Linked DNA regions of Saccharomyces cerevisiae S288C. Changing the gene in region 4 together with the main gene of any one other region gives a genetic interaction. Each region holds a gene or a part of one and is shown on either strand. Other genes may lie near its edges. The genes, in order: FPR4, UTR2, PAU10 and CUE3.

Evidence for each region.
Region 1: mutations in CUE3 (region 4) and FPR4 together harm fitness more than expected from each alone (negative genetic interaction), as found in Saccharomyces cerevisiae (2 studies listed by BioGRID).
Region 2: mutations in CUE3 (region 4) and UTR2 together harm fitness more than expected from each alone (negative genetic interaction), as found in Saccharomyces cerevisiae (2 studies listed by BioGRID).
Region 3: mutations in CUE3 (region 4) and PAU10 together harm fitness more than expected from each alone (negative genetic interaction), as found in Saccharomyces cerevisiae (2 studies listed by BioGRID).

The regions. Positions count from the first base shown.
Region 1 is NC_001144.5:1,028,778-1,032,565, reverse strand, and holds FPR4 (peptidylprolyl isomerase FPR4), read right to left. Parts: upstream 1,733-3,788; coding exon 554-1,732; downstream 1-553. Other genes in the region: 60S ribosomal protein eL6 RPL6B, read right to left, coding at 2,798-3,313, 3,698-3,712. UniProt on the Saccharomyces cerevisiae protein: PPIase that acts as a histone chaperone. Histone proline isomerase that increases the rate of cis-trans isomerization at 'Pro-17' (H3P16), 'Pro-31' (H3P30) and 'Pro-39 (H3P38) on the histone H3 N-terminal tail.
Region 2 is NC_001137.3:76,259-80,308, reverse strand, and holds UTR2 (chitin transglycosylase UTR2), read right to left. Parts: upstream 2,257-4,050; coding exon 853-2,256; downstream 1-852. Other genes in the region: CYC7 (cytochrome c), read left to right, coding at 332-673; YEF1 (NADH/NAD(+) kinase), read right to left, coding at 2,878-4,050. UniProt on the Saccharomyces cerevisiae protein: Dual chitinase/transglycosylase that plays a role in cell wall architecture. Chitinase and transglycosylase activities are coupled. Required for the polysaccharide cross-linking at the septa and the cell wall.
Region 3 is NC_001136.10:1,521,059-1,524,283, reverse strand, and holds PAU10 (seripauperin PAU10), read right to left. Parts: upstream 1,036-3,225; coding exon 673-1,035; downstream 1-672.
Region 4 is NC_001139.9:300,949-305,556, forward strand, and holds CUE3 (Cue3p), read right to left. Parts: upstream 2,464-4,608; coding exon 589-2,463; downstream 1-588. Other genes in the region: ribosome biosynthesis protein NSA1, read left to right, coding at 1-421; YGL108C (uncharacterized protein), read right to left, coding at 2,701-3,123; RMD9 (Rmd9p), read right to left, coding at 3,385-4,608. UniProt on the Saccharomyces cerevisiae protein: Involved in activation of the ribosome quality control (RQC) pathway, a pathway that degrades nascent peptide chains during problematic translation.

The DNA.
Region 1 (3,788 bases), on a different chromosome or scaffold from region 4:
AAGTCAGATTAATTTCTCACTGAAGTGTCTTACTATAACTTGCTCGTACAAAATATTCCCTTTGGTACTCCACCTCTTCAAGATGTATCTGTGTGGTAGGTTCTTGAGGTGATTTAGAAAACGGCCTTCTGATATGTTTGACTAACCCTTGAATGCAACATCTTATTGTTCTCGATTAACTTTTGTCGCGCTGTTGAAAGGGATTCAACAAAACAATGCGCTCGTCTCTAACGATCAATGGTCTATTTATCGTGTAAGTATATATGACATAAACTTTACATATTACGAAGTCATTTTTAAAACTCGAGCTCCTTTTACTCAAAGCTTCTATATTTTACTTTGAGGTCTTCCGATAATTGTATTAGTACTCTCAGCCAATATATGCATCGACAAGTAGCTGGGCGGCTATATCACTAAATAGCTCGCAAAAAAATATTGCTTTTTTATGGCAGAAAAAAACATGTAAAATTGAAAGATAATATTAGTAATGGAAGTATAGATAATTGTATATAGTATTATAGATACATATATCAATACGTATGCATTAAGGACCCTATTTCATGGAGACCAATTTAACATCAAATGTCAATTCAGAGTTAGCAGGAATACCGGGCAAAGCTTGTTTACCGTAGGCATATGGAGCAGGAATGACAATTCTACGCTCACCACCGACCGCCATACCAGCAACACCGATGTCCCATCCTTTAATTACTTCGCCTTGGCCCAACTTAAAAACAAAAGGCTTACCCTTTGTATTCTTGTCAAAAACTTTCCCGTTCTTCAACTTACCAACATATCTCATTCCAACTCTGGTACCCTTTTTGGCATGTGGGCCTTTTCCTGTGACGCGGTCTTCAATGATAATACCGCCTTCCAGTAGCTTCGTCTTTGGCTTTGGTTTGCTCTCTTCCGAGTCTTTAACTTTCTCTGCTTTCTTGTCTTTCTTGGTCGTTTGTTTTTTCTCGGCAGGTTTAGCACTTTCTTCCTCATCTTCCTCATGTTTCCTTTTACTGTCCTTCTTGTTGTTTTTCTTCTTTTCGTCCTTTTTGACTAATTCATCAAGACGACTTTCGATGTCACTAGCATCTACTAAATCATCAAGATCGTCATCACCGGAACTTAGTTCCTCATCGTCCTCTTCTTCTTCTTCTTCTTCTTCTTCTCCATTGGAAGATTCTTCGTCACTGTAATAGTCTTCTTCATCTTCGTCTGAATCTGAAGAATTGTCGAATGGATGTTTGACGTAGTTACCGGTTAGAGAGATAGTGTATGAACCGGTAACGACGAATTGAACGTCTTCCTCTGGTGCAATGGTAATATCCAAAGCTTGTTGATATTGGCCTTTTGGAGATAAGGTTAAAAGAACGCATTCTTCGAATTCATCGTCGATTTCGTTTTCATCTTCAGAGTCTTCTGATTCACTTTGCTCGACTGCCTTACCTTTTTTTGATTTGACACTCCTTTTTGGTACATCTGCTTCTTGTTCACTTTCACTTTCATCCTCTTCGAGGCCGTCATTGTTATCTTGGTTGTAGTACTCACCGCGAGTGAGTTCAGGATTCCTTTTGATTATTCTTAAAGTAGATGGCTTTTTGTCATCGTCAAAGGGCTCAGGGTCGATGGCCGCCATTGTGATTCTAATGGTAACCGGAATTTTGAAGTTCAGAGCTGGGGTTGGGGAGTATGGTTCAACATTCAGGCTATACGTAGCCAATGGAAGCATATCAGACATGGTAGAGACGTATATTTTGTTGTCTTTTTCTTTTTTCTTATCATTCTAACATGAAAAGCACTTCTTTTAACACTGTAAAATTTTCAATGCCCTTCTCTTTTCGATGCACCAGCTAAAATTTTCACTGCCTCGGGTTTGAGATAAAAATATACATAGGGCATCGAAGGCAAGAAATTGAGAAATTTAACGTTCATATGGGTTAATGATTGTATGAGAATGTCTGACGAAGAATATTATTTTTGCTGAAGTTAAACTAAGAATTAGAATTATGACTTGATACACAATGCTACTTTCTTTTGGCCAAGCTATTTGATATAAAAGTATACGTAAATACAGAAAAAGGCAACAGTATGCAGGAAGTTATTCGTAGTTCTTTCGTCACTCGAAATAAAACGTACAACAGACTTAACTTTTACGCGTGTATTAAATATCAACGCACTAATCATACACCCCACTGAGGCAGGTTTAATCACAAAAATGTTGAGATTATTTGCCGCAGCAAACTTTAGCATCTGCACTGTAGTTGCTTCCCCAGCATCCACTTAGTATGGACAAATTGGGTTGTATGTTTACCTTTTACATATATAACATTATCGCTGGCAGGTTACAGAATTTATATGGTGGTTTTGAGAGAAGTTAACACATTGGGAGGACGACTCTGATTATACCTATTGCAATGGCTCGCTAGGACAGCATTTCCTCCACAGAGACTTTGCCTCAGTGCGGTTGGAGTAGACCATGCAGCTTCCAATGTAAATGAATAGATATAGCCTAGTGGCCCAGAACGGCGATGACCTGATCTTGAACCCTTAGATATTAATATTTATGATTTTTTGTATTTTGCTATGTAAGAGAAAAAAAAAATTATAGATACAAAAAGAAGGATATAGAAAAGCACAGATAATGTTGATAGGAAAAATGAATTAGAAGAGGATTAAACTTAGATTACATATCCACTTACCTTTCCGTTATTGTCAAACAGTATTTTCAGATCAACGCATTCTCTATCAATTCTCCTTGTTTTGAAATTCTATTTTAAATCATTTATAATTTTTTCAGTTCAATTTAGAATTTCAATAGGTGTGGCTTGTCACCGTTCTTCAAAGAGAAAGAAGCGGACAAATATTGCTTCAACAATGGGGTCTTCTTGATTTCAGCCAACAAAGCCTTGTCAACAACCTTTTGATCTTCAACACGTTCAGTCTTGATTTCCTTAGTTTGTTGTTCTGGGAACAAGTTAGCTTCCTTCTTTTCCTTCTTGGTCAATTTTTCCTTGGCAAAGTATTCAACGTTGAATTTTTCAACGTTGACACCTTCCACGGAGACTTTGGTAGAGGTAGCAATGACATAACGAGCGTTGACTCTTCTCAATGGAACACCATTGACCTTGAATGGACCAGTGACCAATAGAGTGTTGTCTTCTAGATGTTTCAAGTAGACAACTCTCTTACCTCTGAAACGGCCAGCTAGCAAGATCAAAACAGTGCCTGGAACTAGAGAGGCACGCAACTTTTGTGGGCGAACAGCCTTTCTGGTTTTCTTTGGGGCAGCAACGTCTTCGGAAGGATACCACTTTGGGGCCTATAATTGACATATCGTGATGTAAATCACATATATAGTTAGTATACTACTCGTTTACTTTTTTCTTGCACAATTGATGGTGGGCATGGCGTGTGCTGATTCAGCACAAGGTTTGGTACTATCCTCAAAAAAATTCTTAGCGTAGGAAGAAGTTTACTCAGATTAGCTATAATATGAGTTATTGTTACTATGTTTCTCAGTCATTTGATGCTATATTTTCATTTTTACTAAAATCGTTATTTTCATTTTGTCCAGTTTTGTCCAGTTCATATTTAAAAGGTTAGCTCCCTTCCTGCTTTTGTTCTTGGGTAACTATTTTCCTCTAGGCACGTGTGCCATCTCCATAACCATCACATCCTTCAATTTACTCATCTTTACACATACTTGTTGGGCAGTCATTTCGTTGAATATATTTGCTTCTCTTCCAAGTTCAAGAAAGTAGTCAAACCTAAATGAGATTTTGCTTGAAAATTAT
Region 2 (4,050 bases), on a different chromosome or scaffold from region 4:
TATTGAATTATTTTCCTTCGTGCCTTCTCTGAGAAGGGTCTGCAGTCCCCCGCCGAGGGGTCTTTTCCCACCTTCTCAAAGCTAATAGCGATAATAGCGAGGGCATTTATTCAAGTTCCAACTACTATAAGTGGCCGCAAGGGGCAAAGACAAAGGCACACAACATATATATATATCGTGTTGTGAAGCTCGAGAAGATTAGATCAGAATAGTTCTCTTTTTGTTGAGGTTGAAACAAAATCAAAGACTTATACAAGAAGATCACATACAAGCATTTATTCACATTACTTTAAGTAAACTTCAGTAAACTACATTACATCATAAACAAAACATGGCTAAAGAAAGTACGGGATTCAAACCAGGCTCTGCAAAAAAGGGTGCTACATTGTTTAAAACGAGGTGTCAGCAGTGTCATACAATAGAAGAGGGTGGTCCTAACAAAGTTGGACCTAATTTACATGGTATTTTTGGTAGACATTCAGGTCAGGTAAAGGGTTATTCTTACACAGATGCAAACATCAACAAGAACGTCAAATGGGATGAGGATAGTATGTCCGAGTACTTGACGAACCCAAAGAAATATATTCCTGGTACCAAGATGGCGTTTGCCGGGTTGAAGAAGGAAAAGGACAGAAACGATTTAATTACTTATATGACAAAGGCTGCCAAATAGGCTATGTCGTCGGAGGAGATATTTATTACTTTTATTATTCTAGTTTTTTACAGTTATTTATTAATTAATTATTTTTATATGCATGCGAATAAAAAGTCTATATTTAAGTTCTTTTATTTATTAATACATTTTTTTTTGAGAGTCCTGTGTAGCCTATTTGTTCTTAGATGCAGATCCTCCTATAAGACATAACCTAGGATGACACATAAAACAGTCAAACGCCAGTTTGCCGCTACGTTGGCACCTGCGTTATTACCGCTCATTGAGCTTGTACTGCTGGAGGCGCTTCCGCTTACAGAAGATGTTGTTTGAGTTTGGGAAGTGACGGAAGAGGATACGGAGGATACGACTTTATCTCCGTTCTTAGTAGCAGTAGAGGAAGAAGAAGAAGAAGAAGAAGATGATGATGATGATGATGAAGCGGTGGAACTAGTCTTACTACTCTTCTTAGTTGAACTGCTGTGATCGGATGACGTTTTGGAGGAAGAGGTTGCAGTTGAGGAAGAACTCTTTTGGGTGGAAGATGTGGTAGCTCCCTTATGTGGGTCCAAGCCAGATCCCTCATCACTGTCCATCATGACCTCATCATCGGTAATAGCAATGTCTTTGGCCAAAAATTCACTGGACGAAGTATACACATAAGCAGAAGTACCATTCTTCTTGGTATCGCTTGGTGGATCATAACATGTGATATTAACTTCATTGACAATAGCATAATAATATCCTGGGTTGCTGATATCGGATGCGTCCCAATTAATTTCACCACCAGACCATGCAATGGTTCCTGGAGCGTTGGTAGAATTACCACCTGGCCAAATGGAAATATCCACCTTGGATGGGGTTTGTGGGTATTGATATTTTTGGGTGGTGGCGTTATAAGTTTCGTTCTTGTACAAGGTTCTACCGACGACACCATCGATGGACCATGTTACATAATCTTCGTGCCAATCTAATTCGTAAGTATGGTAGTTTTCAAATGTATCAGTAGTGGAAATATTGGCAGAATTCGTGTAGTTCAAAACACTTTCCCAATAGAAATTGGTTTGAGCAGTTTCTAGATCAGCACCGACGAATTCGTAATCAAGTTCATCACCTGCGCCGGAATACAGAATGAACCCAGTGACCACACCAGCAAGATGTGACGTCTTTATTCTAGCACTGACCTTACCATACCAAACAGCCCTCGTGGAGGAAAGAACGGTACCACCACTGTTCTTGGGCATCGCCAAAATTAAACTTTCTTCATCATCATAATCCAAAACGTCACCAGTATACAACCAATCAGCCTCACTAACATTTCCTAAGAAAGTGTTAGCATTCCCCAACTTAGAGGAATAATCTTTGAATTTAGTGGATGAACTCTTGCAGATAGGTACAGGCATACATGAATCATGACTAAACGAATATCTTACATCACAGTTGTTCAGACAATATTGACCAGTACCACATTCACCATATTGTGAGCAACATGGTTTATCTTCGGGACATGCTTGAGTTGCATTGCAAAATGTAGCGGCCTCTACACGTACCACGAAGGAAAAAATACTGACTAAACAAATTAGCCAACTATTAACGATTGCCATTATTAATTATATAATTAGCTTATTTGCAGGACAATAAATAGAAGTTTTACAAAGGGAACAGGGTCCAACAGAAACCATAATCACCAGGAATGTTGTTCTTTTTATACCTCAGGCATGTTTTAAAAGCCTCTTCTGCAGTTTTAATTTGGAAACTATCCACCTTGAAGATTCCCACTAAATCTTCGAAGGACGACGATTTTCTTCGAGGTTGAAAAAAGTTTTTCAAGAATTTTCGCGCTTCTTCCTAATCGGGAATTTATCTGTCATAATTATAATTCCCTATTTGGGAATTGGAACGAAATATATGCTACTATTTTAAAAATTATTCTGCACCATTCCGGAAATAACCTTCCGGTGACTGCAAGTTAGGCAACCTTATCATATGGTTAACTAGCATAATTACAAACGCGCATGAGGAAATTTAGCGAAACTACCTGCCAAATGCGGCGCTCTGGTTCAACTGTTTCATTTCTCCATTTTGTATAGCTCTACTGGATCTTCTTCGACACTGCAAACGACGCAAGAGCATTCTTGAAGTAAAAGAGGTAAATACAAAGCTGTTTACAGGCTCATCATCCATTATGAACCCTTGACTACGGAAACGCAGGATGTGGGAAATCGTTAGATTGCAAAATGAGCCTGACGAGTCCGTTCAACAACTATTTCTGTTTCTGTTTCCGTTACGGATTTCCTCTCCTCATCTTGTGCATCTGAGCTTATGCATGAACTCTCGAGGGGATTACTTATGGTGTCGTTTCCATTTTTCGATGAGTCTAATCTATATTTTTCTTGATTTTTTGGCGAGAGAATATGTGCAAATGGCTTCTGCTCTTCGCGGTCATTCCAATTAAGATTTTTACTGATACTTTCAAAAAATTCACTGGCAGATGACTCGATAGTCGGTACCGAATAGGGGCTTGCAGTTATCACAACATAGTCACCCTGTTTCAATTCAACTCTATCTTTTCCGTCAAAATTCACCCACGACGTCCCTCTTGAGTTCATATCTACTCTAACTTTTAATTCCATGCTATCTGGTAAAATTATAGGCCTAAAGCTCAAAGTATGAGGACATATAGGCGTCACCGCTATGGCATTTACGCTTGGCGATATTAAAGAGCCTCCTGCACTCAATGAGTATGCCGTGGATCCCGTAGGCGTGGCAACAATCAATCCATCTCCCTGAACCTTAGTCATTAGTGAGTCGTTTCCATAGAGTTCTAATAGGGATAAACAAGGAGCTGGACCTCTATCTATGGTTACTTCGTTCAATACGTGATGTTCGGAGATGAAATCGATGTAACATATTTTTCTCCCAGTTGCGGCATCAATTTCTGGTTTATTTCTACGGTAGAGTTTGCATTGCAACCTCATTCGTAAATTAATACGAACCTCATCTGTTAAGATATGTTTCAACGTTTCTTTGAAATTTTGAAATTCAAAATTTGTTAGAAATCCTAATGATCCAAGGGCAAATGGAACAATCGGCGGAACATCTTTCGTGAATATAGATGAAGCAAAAAGGACAGTTCCATCACCCCCTAGTGTAATCATCAAGTCAAAGAATGAATCGTGTTTTTTAACAAATTCTTTTGACCAATACTTTACTCTGTTTTTACTGCAATTGCTGTCTTTGCAGAGGTCACCAACAGCAAACTGAGTTGACTTTTTAAAAATATCTTGTACATATACAGTTATTGAATGGAAATTGCGTAAGATCCATTCCACCACTTCTCTCATGAGAAATACAGTGGAAATATCATTAATATTGCAGATTATTATCAGGTTTTCAAC
Region 3 (3,225 bases), on a different chromosome or scaffold from region 4:
TTTTTGTAGAGTTATAACGAAACTTCAAATAACCCTACTATATTATAACTTATCAGCGGCGTATACTTAAACGGATATTACGATATTGTCTCATCTCACTTCATCTTACCACCCTCTATCTTAGTTTTGGTAGAACACTAACCCCTCAGCTTTATTTCTAGTTACAGTTACAAAAAACTATCCCAAACCATAAATCTTAATATTTTAGGTGTCAAAAAATGAGGATCTCCAAATGAGAGTTTGGTACCATGACTTGTAACTCGCACTGCCCTGATCTGCAGTCTTGTTCTTAGAAGTGACGCATATTCTATACGGCCCGACGCGACGCGCCAAAAAATGAAAAAAGAAGCAGCGACACATTTTTATGGAAAGACAAAGTGCTGCGAAGTCATACGTTTCCAATTTCATTATTGTTTATTGGAAATACTCTGTTAGCTTTATTACCGTCCACGCTTTTTCTACAATAGTGTAAAAGTTTCTTTCTTATGTTCATCGTATTCATAAAATGCTTCACGAACACTGTCATTGATCAAATAGGTTTATAATATTAATATACATTTATATAATCTACGGTATTTATATCATCAAAAAAAAGTAGTTTTTTATTTATTTTATTTTGTTCGTTCATTTTCAATGTCTATGGAAACCCGTTCGTAAAATTGGCGTTTGTCTCTAGTTTGCGATAGTGTAGATACCGACCTTGGATAGAGCACTGGAGATGGCTGGCTTTAATCTGCTGGAGTACCATGGAACACCGGTGATCATTCTGGTCACTTGGTCTGGGGCAATACCAGTCAACATGGTGGTGAAGTCACCGTAGTTGAAAACGGCTTCAGCAACTTCAACTGGGTAGGTTTCCGTTGGGTGGGCGGCTTGGAACATGTAGTATTGGGCCAAGTGAGCTCTGATATCAGAGACGTAGACACCCAATTCAACCAAGTTGACTCTTTCGTCAGATTGAGCTAGAGTGGTGGTTGCGGAAGCAGTAGCAGCGATGGCAGCGACACCAGCGGCGATTGAAGTTAATTTGACCATTGTATTTGTTTTGTTTTTTAGTGCTGATATAAGCCCTACTAGGAAGAAAAAAATGACTGCATATTCACAAAGACAGGCGGTCAAGTCTGCTCTATTTATACAAATTCCTTCACCAGCTGGTGCTGCCCAAACGAGCCACTGACTGACACTCTTTTCTCACCTCAAGATCCTACATATTTCATCTAACACACCTTATCCACCGTAACTATAGAAATGCACCTGTCCTTGAACGATTCGTGAATTCGTCACAAACTTCGTATATGAAGATATGTTTTGCGGCGCCAATGTGTATTCGTATGCGTGCAATGTAAGATCGACGTTATAGGGGCGCCATGTGCCTTCGAAGAACCCTTTTACGTGCCTGTCATATTTCTTTTTCAAGGACCCTCGTTCGGAAGCTATTGTCTTAGCCTATATTAGTATGCTCTAAACGATTGCCGCGGGATAATGTTACAGTTTCTTTTCCCAAGCTGAAGTGAAATAGCAATGATGTACTGAGAGTCGTACCTACCCGTGGAAGCTTACGATGCCGTTCACTATCACTAAGGCATTCGAAATTAGATACCACAATCAAGAATGAATGCGATATATAAACGAGGTAGCTACAGTTAGCTGCACATGTTTCTCGAATAGAGTTAATTGATGTTAGGGTGAATTGAATCATGTGCCAAGGTTTTGTGTAATGAAACATCTTCGATACCCGGGTACCATTTTTCTTGTTAAAAAAAAAAAAGAAAGAAAAGAAAAGAGTACAGAGGCCAGTGGATGGCGCTAATATTTTTTATTTTACGTTTTGAATCTTCTGTTGAATAATTTCATCTATGTGCTTGGTTCTTGCAACTGTTAAACACTTATACCTAGTAAATATTCTGTGGCAGGGGTTGGTAGTGCCTCCTGAATTTATGGGCGCAGTTTAATGCTCAATAACTAGGCAACGCATTTTTTCTGAATCTAAAATGCTATTTAAGTATCGCTCAAAAGAAAACTACAAAATTAGCCCTGTTAAAGAAAAATTCCTCATTCTTGTACATATCCTGCCCAAACAAGCTTCTGTTCTTTCTGTTGGCACTCTCAACGCATTAATCAGCACCACTGCCTTGCTTACCTGTGTTCCATTCTCATATGGAATATCACTAGACTGGAGAATTTCCTCTCGATAGAAAAAAACTGGTTCCACAAGGCAAGGAAGCCTGAGGGTCCGGTGGACCAGTGGAAGTAAGATAGTAGTTAAACAAAATAACATGCAATTAAATATTTTCCTTTAATTTTTAAGTCAGTGTGACCCAATAAGAATAGCTTTAATTTTTTACTTCTTTTGGTACCTAATATTTCTACTTAAAATACTTCCGATGGAGACGCATAACTTGTACTTTTGTCAAGGAAAAGATATAATTAGCACTTGAGCAAGCAATACTATCATTTTTTTTTTTGAGACATTACTTCAAGTTGACTCTTTTGAAACAGATCTTTTCTCCAACTTACTCACGAACATTGCCTAAAAGACAACTAATTTCTCGTCCAAAGCTGATAAAAGATGAATATGGATTCAGCATAAGCGGATTAAAGTAGCAATATCTGCTTAAGTTGACTTCGCTATTACTCTCACGGGTGTAACACTATTCTGTTTCACGAATGGCGCTTACGATTTTTCAAAATTACCTTGGAATGTGTCACGTTGGGCATTTTTAATTATTGTGCTGCATAAAGGTGCCTATTTGGCAAGTTTCTGTGCGAAAAACACTAGTATTGAATGTTTTCGTGATGCTTTATTGACACGTGAGAAGGGAAACTTTTTTTAATACGATAGCACATATATTAACCACATGAAGGCACTTGCATCATCTGCTTAAAGCAGATTAGAGGTCGTATTTCTAACCTTTAAAGGTACATTCTGTTTGAATCATGAATATATGTAGTTGCGTAAGTTGTTTAAGACTCTAGAGCCAACGAATTTCTGCTTTTGAATCATTACGGAATCTTAGAGTGTTATACGACATTATTAAATACAGCAACAATGGCCAGTCGCACAATTTGATTTCTAAGTTACAATAAATGGACTGTAAAAATTCACACAAAAGACTTTCTTGCCCTCCTTCTTTCTTGATTTGTTCAAGCCTCTTTTATTTGCATATACTTTTTGTTTATGTTCTATAGCCTAAATTGTAATCCACTCTATCTATTTTGGGTGCC
Region 4 (4,608 bases):
ATCTGAAACCTTTAATGAACTGAATGTGATTACTACTGACTACAAAAAGAATGTTTTTAAATTCGATGGTAATGGAAGAATGTTGGGCAAGGTGGGTAGAGATGATATCACTGGTTCGTCAACCTATATTCATGTACATGACGGCAAATATCTTTTACAAGGTGGTTTAGATAGGTATGTTCGGATCTTCGATATAAAAACTAACAAAATGCTGGTGAAGGTTTATGTTGGGTCCCGTATAAATTTTATTGTTATGCTGGATGACGTTGAAATCGAGATGCCACTAAGTCCAAGTGCGAAAGCTGCCAAAGGGAAGCAAAAAAGGAAGGTTACAGAACTTGAAGAAGACGCAGATGAGCTTTGGAATAAATTGGAGGGAAAGGTAGCTGCTTCTAAAGCCAGTAAGAAAAGCAAAATTTAATAGTAAAGGACGCTAATTGAAGGCAAAGTTTTACTAGTCGGCGGGAAAAATTATTAAAAAAAGCACTTCCTGAACGCGACGCTGAATAACTTATAATACGTTACATAATTGTATACCGTCTAGTAAACTTACATACGCTTGTCTATCTTGTATGCTGATGCATTTTATCAAATAGCGTTATTTCCCGCACGAGCCAATTTTTTATCGTGCCCCTTCTTACGGTTATGGTTAGCTCTAGCCCCTTTCCTTTTTTCATTCTTAGCATGCTGTCTTTTCTTCTGTTCAGTAGATTGAGGTTCATGTTTCTTAATATTTTCAGATTTTTTTTGTTTGGCTTGTTCTTTGACGACATTTCCATCATTTTGGCTATCACGATTATGAACATAAGACGTTTTCCCTGTTTTGCTATTTCCTTTGAACATAAACTTCTTTTCTAAAAGTCTTGCTCGGGTAGGAGATCTTTCTAACATCCGACACCAACCTTCGATTTTTTCATCCGACCATGAAGTCATTTCTTTCATAGTTTTCCTGACTTTTGTACCTCTTTTTGATCTCTCAAATAATTTCGGATCCTCTTTCAATAGATTCCACAAGTAAGCTTCAACAATATGATAGTTATGATCTTGTCGCACTTCATTAGAATCATCTTTTGTATCATAGCTTTCTTCGTCTTCTTGAAGTCCAATTCTTTTCGAAGGATCGGACCGGTTCACATCGGCTTCATCATAAGTGTCATCCCTTTCATCTTCATCAGCCTCGTATAAAAGTTTCAATGCTCTTGTCAAAGTTTTATTTCTTAATTCATCCGGAACACCCTCCGAGATAATCTTTTTGTCTAGCTCTTTATTTTTTGAGCTATCTCCTCTATCCAATATACTCAGTTCTTCAGTAAAGGATGCATTATCACCATCTGACACCGGCTCTACTTCTTCCTCCGCAGGTTCTCTGGAGAATGCTTCGATAATGGTAGGATCCTCAAATATTTTATTCGTTACTAATTCAATGTTATTATCATAGGCAAGCAACGTTTGAGATAATTGATATTTAGAAAACTGGGGGAACAATTCCATCAACGCGGACAGTTGTTCTTCATTAACTTCAGTACCTGATGATGTTGGATAGCTCATATGGTCTCCTTCGTCCATTGACAACCCCCCTAAATTCAGAAATAGTAACTTGCTCTTCAAATCAGGAAGCCTTTTGTGGACTCCTTCATTTATGAGCATTGTTCCTAAAAGAGGATATAACGCCAAAGTTTCAAAATTGCTTATGCCTAATTCTTTAGTTATTTTTAGTAAACGATCAGCAGAAACAGAAAATAAACTGATAATGATCAATTCTCTAGCCTCTTTATGACCCCGGCCCTGTCCCTTTGCCCATAATGCCTCTAAAATTTCAATCCAATTTGCCGTAAAGAAGTTCTCCGCAAACTTATTTGGCTGCATGGATTTGGCAGACAGCAGATCTTCAACGCACCTTAAATCTATTCTTTTAAATTTTCCAGATTCTATTAACTGCTTCAAATGCTGTTGAACTTGGTACGATTTGTCCAATTGTACACGTTGCGTGTTGATCCGTGGTTTCAATGAGCCATCGATCAAACCACGAATAGAATCTGGATTACGTCTAACATATACTTTGATCAAATTCCACAGGGAGTCACCAAAAATCTGAAGATGTAATAACCCGCATTTCTTGATCAATGAAAATATCCAGCCTTTTAGTAAATATAACTGTTCAGACACATCATGGTTGATACCGAGACTTAATAACTTTCCTTCCTCATCAGCAATTTCATGCAAGTAAGTTCTCAAAAATAAACGAAGATGATCAAGTGTAGATTCATCTAATAATTCAACGTTAGCACCTTGCATCAAATACTCAAAATACGTTACATAGGTTTCTATTAGATGCAGCCATACTACGGGGTCCTTTTCAATTAATTGAGCTCTGAGTTTAAACGGTGGAAATTTGACAATGGGCAGAGAAATATCTGCATTACCCCCATTTATTTCAATAACGCGGTTGTACCTTGATAACATTATTCTTAGTGATTCTATCCTATAAAAATTTCCAAGATTCAATAGTTAACTCGAATGTCTCTCATTTATGAGAACTAGTGTTTTATATTTTCATTTTTTCTATGGCCGCGCAAAATCCATTGGCAGATATTCAGGTATATAAACGTTACAAAGCCAAGAGGAGAATGGAAGGCCAACAAAAAAATTCTTGTACAATTGCATATATTGATTCATTACAATATTACTGCCGTCGTTCTCTCAGTCATAAATCATGTTTTCCCTTTCCCTCTCAGCATGCTTTTTCTCGGCCTCTTCCATTAAGCGAGTCTTATGAGACTTGGCACGCTCTTGAGCTAGCTTTTTGCCTAACTCGCCCTTATTGTACTTTTCATTCGTCTCTTGAAATCTCTTCTCAGCAGCTAACCTTGCGGCCTCCTTTGGGCTAACTTTATTTTTGCTCGGATCACTTGTATCAGTTAATTTGCTGCCTTCTTTCCTTTGCACAACCGGGACAGTTGTACTCTTTAGTTGTGTCTTCTTCTTTTTATCTTTCTTCTCTTTATGTCGAAGTTCTTGCTTTGACTTGACTGTATCACGATTAATTGGTTTTGTTCTTGCTTTAGTTGCCACCGTCGTAGTTTGTGAAGGCATTGGTTGGGTTTTACTTCCGCAAAGCCCCATACTATGTACTTAAATATTTGTTGTTGTTTGCTGGTGCAAATTTCCTGGATGATGTTAATGATAATTATAGACCGCTTTTATATAGTCTTATGCCTATCCTTTTCATTTTTATTTTTCTAGAGGGAAAAAATCGCTGATTACATGAGGGAAAAAAATATACACATTTCTTGATCATAGAAGATTCGATCTTATATATTATACGTTTAAATGTTTATTTACAAGCATGCATAAATTGAGATGGGGAGAATGAATGCGCTAGTACTATTGCTCCTTAGCAATAAAGCTATGTAGTTGAGGAACAGGAATGTCCTCGGCACTCAAGTCAGAATAACCGCTCAGATACTCATTTAATATTGGGTATGACTCTGCGCATCCAGTGGTATACCTATATACTTGCTTGGTAGCGCGAAAGTAGGGCGTATATCTTTTTAATATTTTCAAGTACAGCTCTATTCTGTCTTCTGAATTCGAAGTAGAATCCTCATTTTTCAAATTTTCCAATGGCTTCGGAACTTTTATGTCGTCTTCTGTGGTCGTAGTCGTTGCTGGTGTTCCTTTAGCTTTTGCAGAAAAGACCTTTTCATCCCTCTTTGATTGTGACCATACGACAGTGGCATCCCTCAAAGCGGACAGATCAGCATTGGCTATATATTGTTGGCCCAATTCATTCAGTTTCTTGACCAACTCCAGCCATCTATCCAGAATCTCTTCATTATTCGTGTTGTCTATGCTTCCCAATGATTTCAGTAGTATTCTATATGATATAATAGTTCTTGGAATATGGTACAAAGTATAGTTTTTATCGATAAAATCGATTATGCTGCGTTCGTGCCAGATAGATGCTCTAGTTAACATAACGTTAAAAAATGGTTCATCAATTTTTTTGACCCCACTGTAAAACGTTATGATTTCTTGAAGCTTACGGAAACCATTGATATTGTCATTAATATAGTTTTCGAAGAATATTGTGAAAAAAGTGTTGTTTAGTGAGGACAAAATTCCAGGATTAACAGTGTTACCATAAAATTTTACAGCCTTTTCCCATATTCTATAAACATGATCAAAATCGTTCTGTGCTTTCCATATATTCTGCAAAAAAGAGTTCACTGTAGAGACTTGTAAAATAATCTTGTATGGCATTTCATCGTTGATAATTTTGTCAAAGAAACTTTCTGCCAACGTTAAATTCTTGGAATCACCAATGAAGCTTAAGTGCGTTTCAATTAAATAACCGTAATTCCTCACTTCAGCCTTTTCACATAATTGGCCGAAGAGGGATAATGCCTTTTCGTAGTCTTCCGCCTTGATGAAGACTTTTATCAGTCCGCTGTAAAGATTGGGATGGATAAATTCTTTGGATTGAATAATTTGGTTATATAGCTCGTTAGGCTCAGTCAGAGAACGCGTTTTTGCATAAAGTAATGGCAGCATAAAACCAACCACTTTTGGTTCTTGGAATGCCTGTGAAGTAGTCTCGTCGGACAA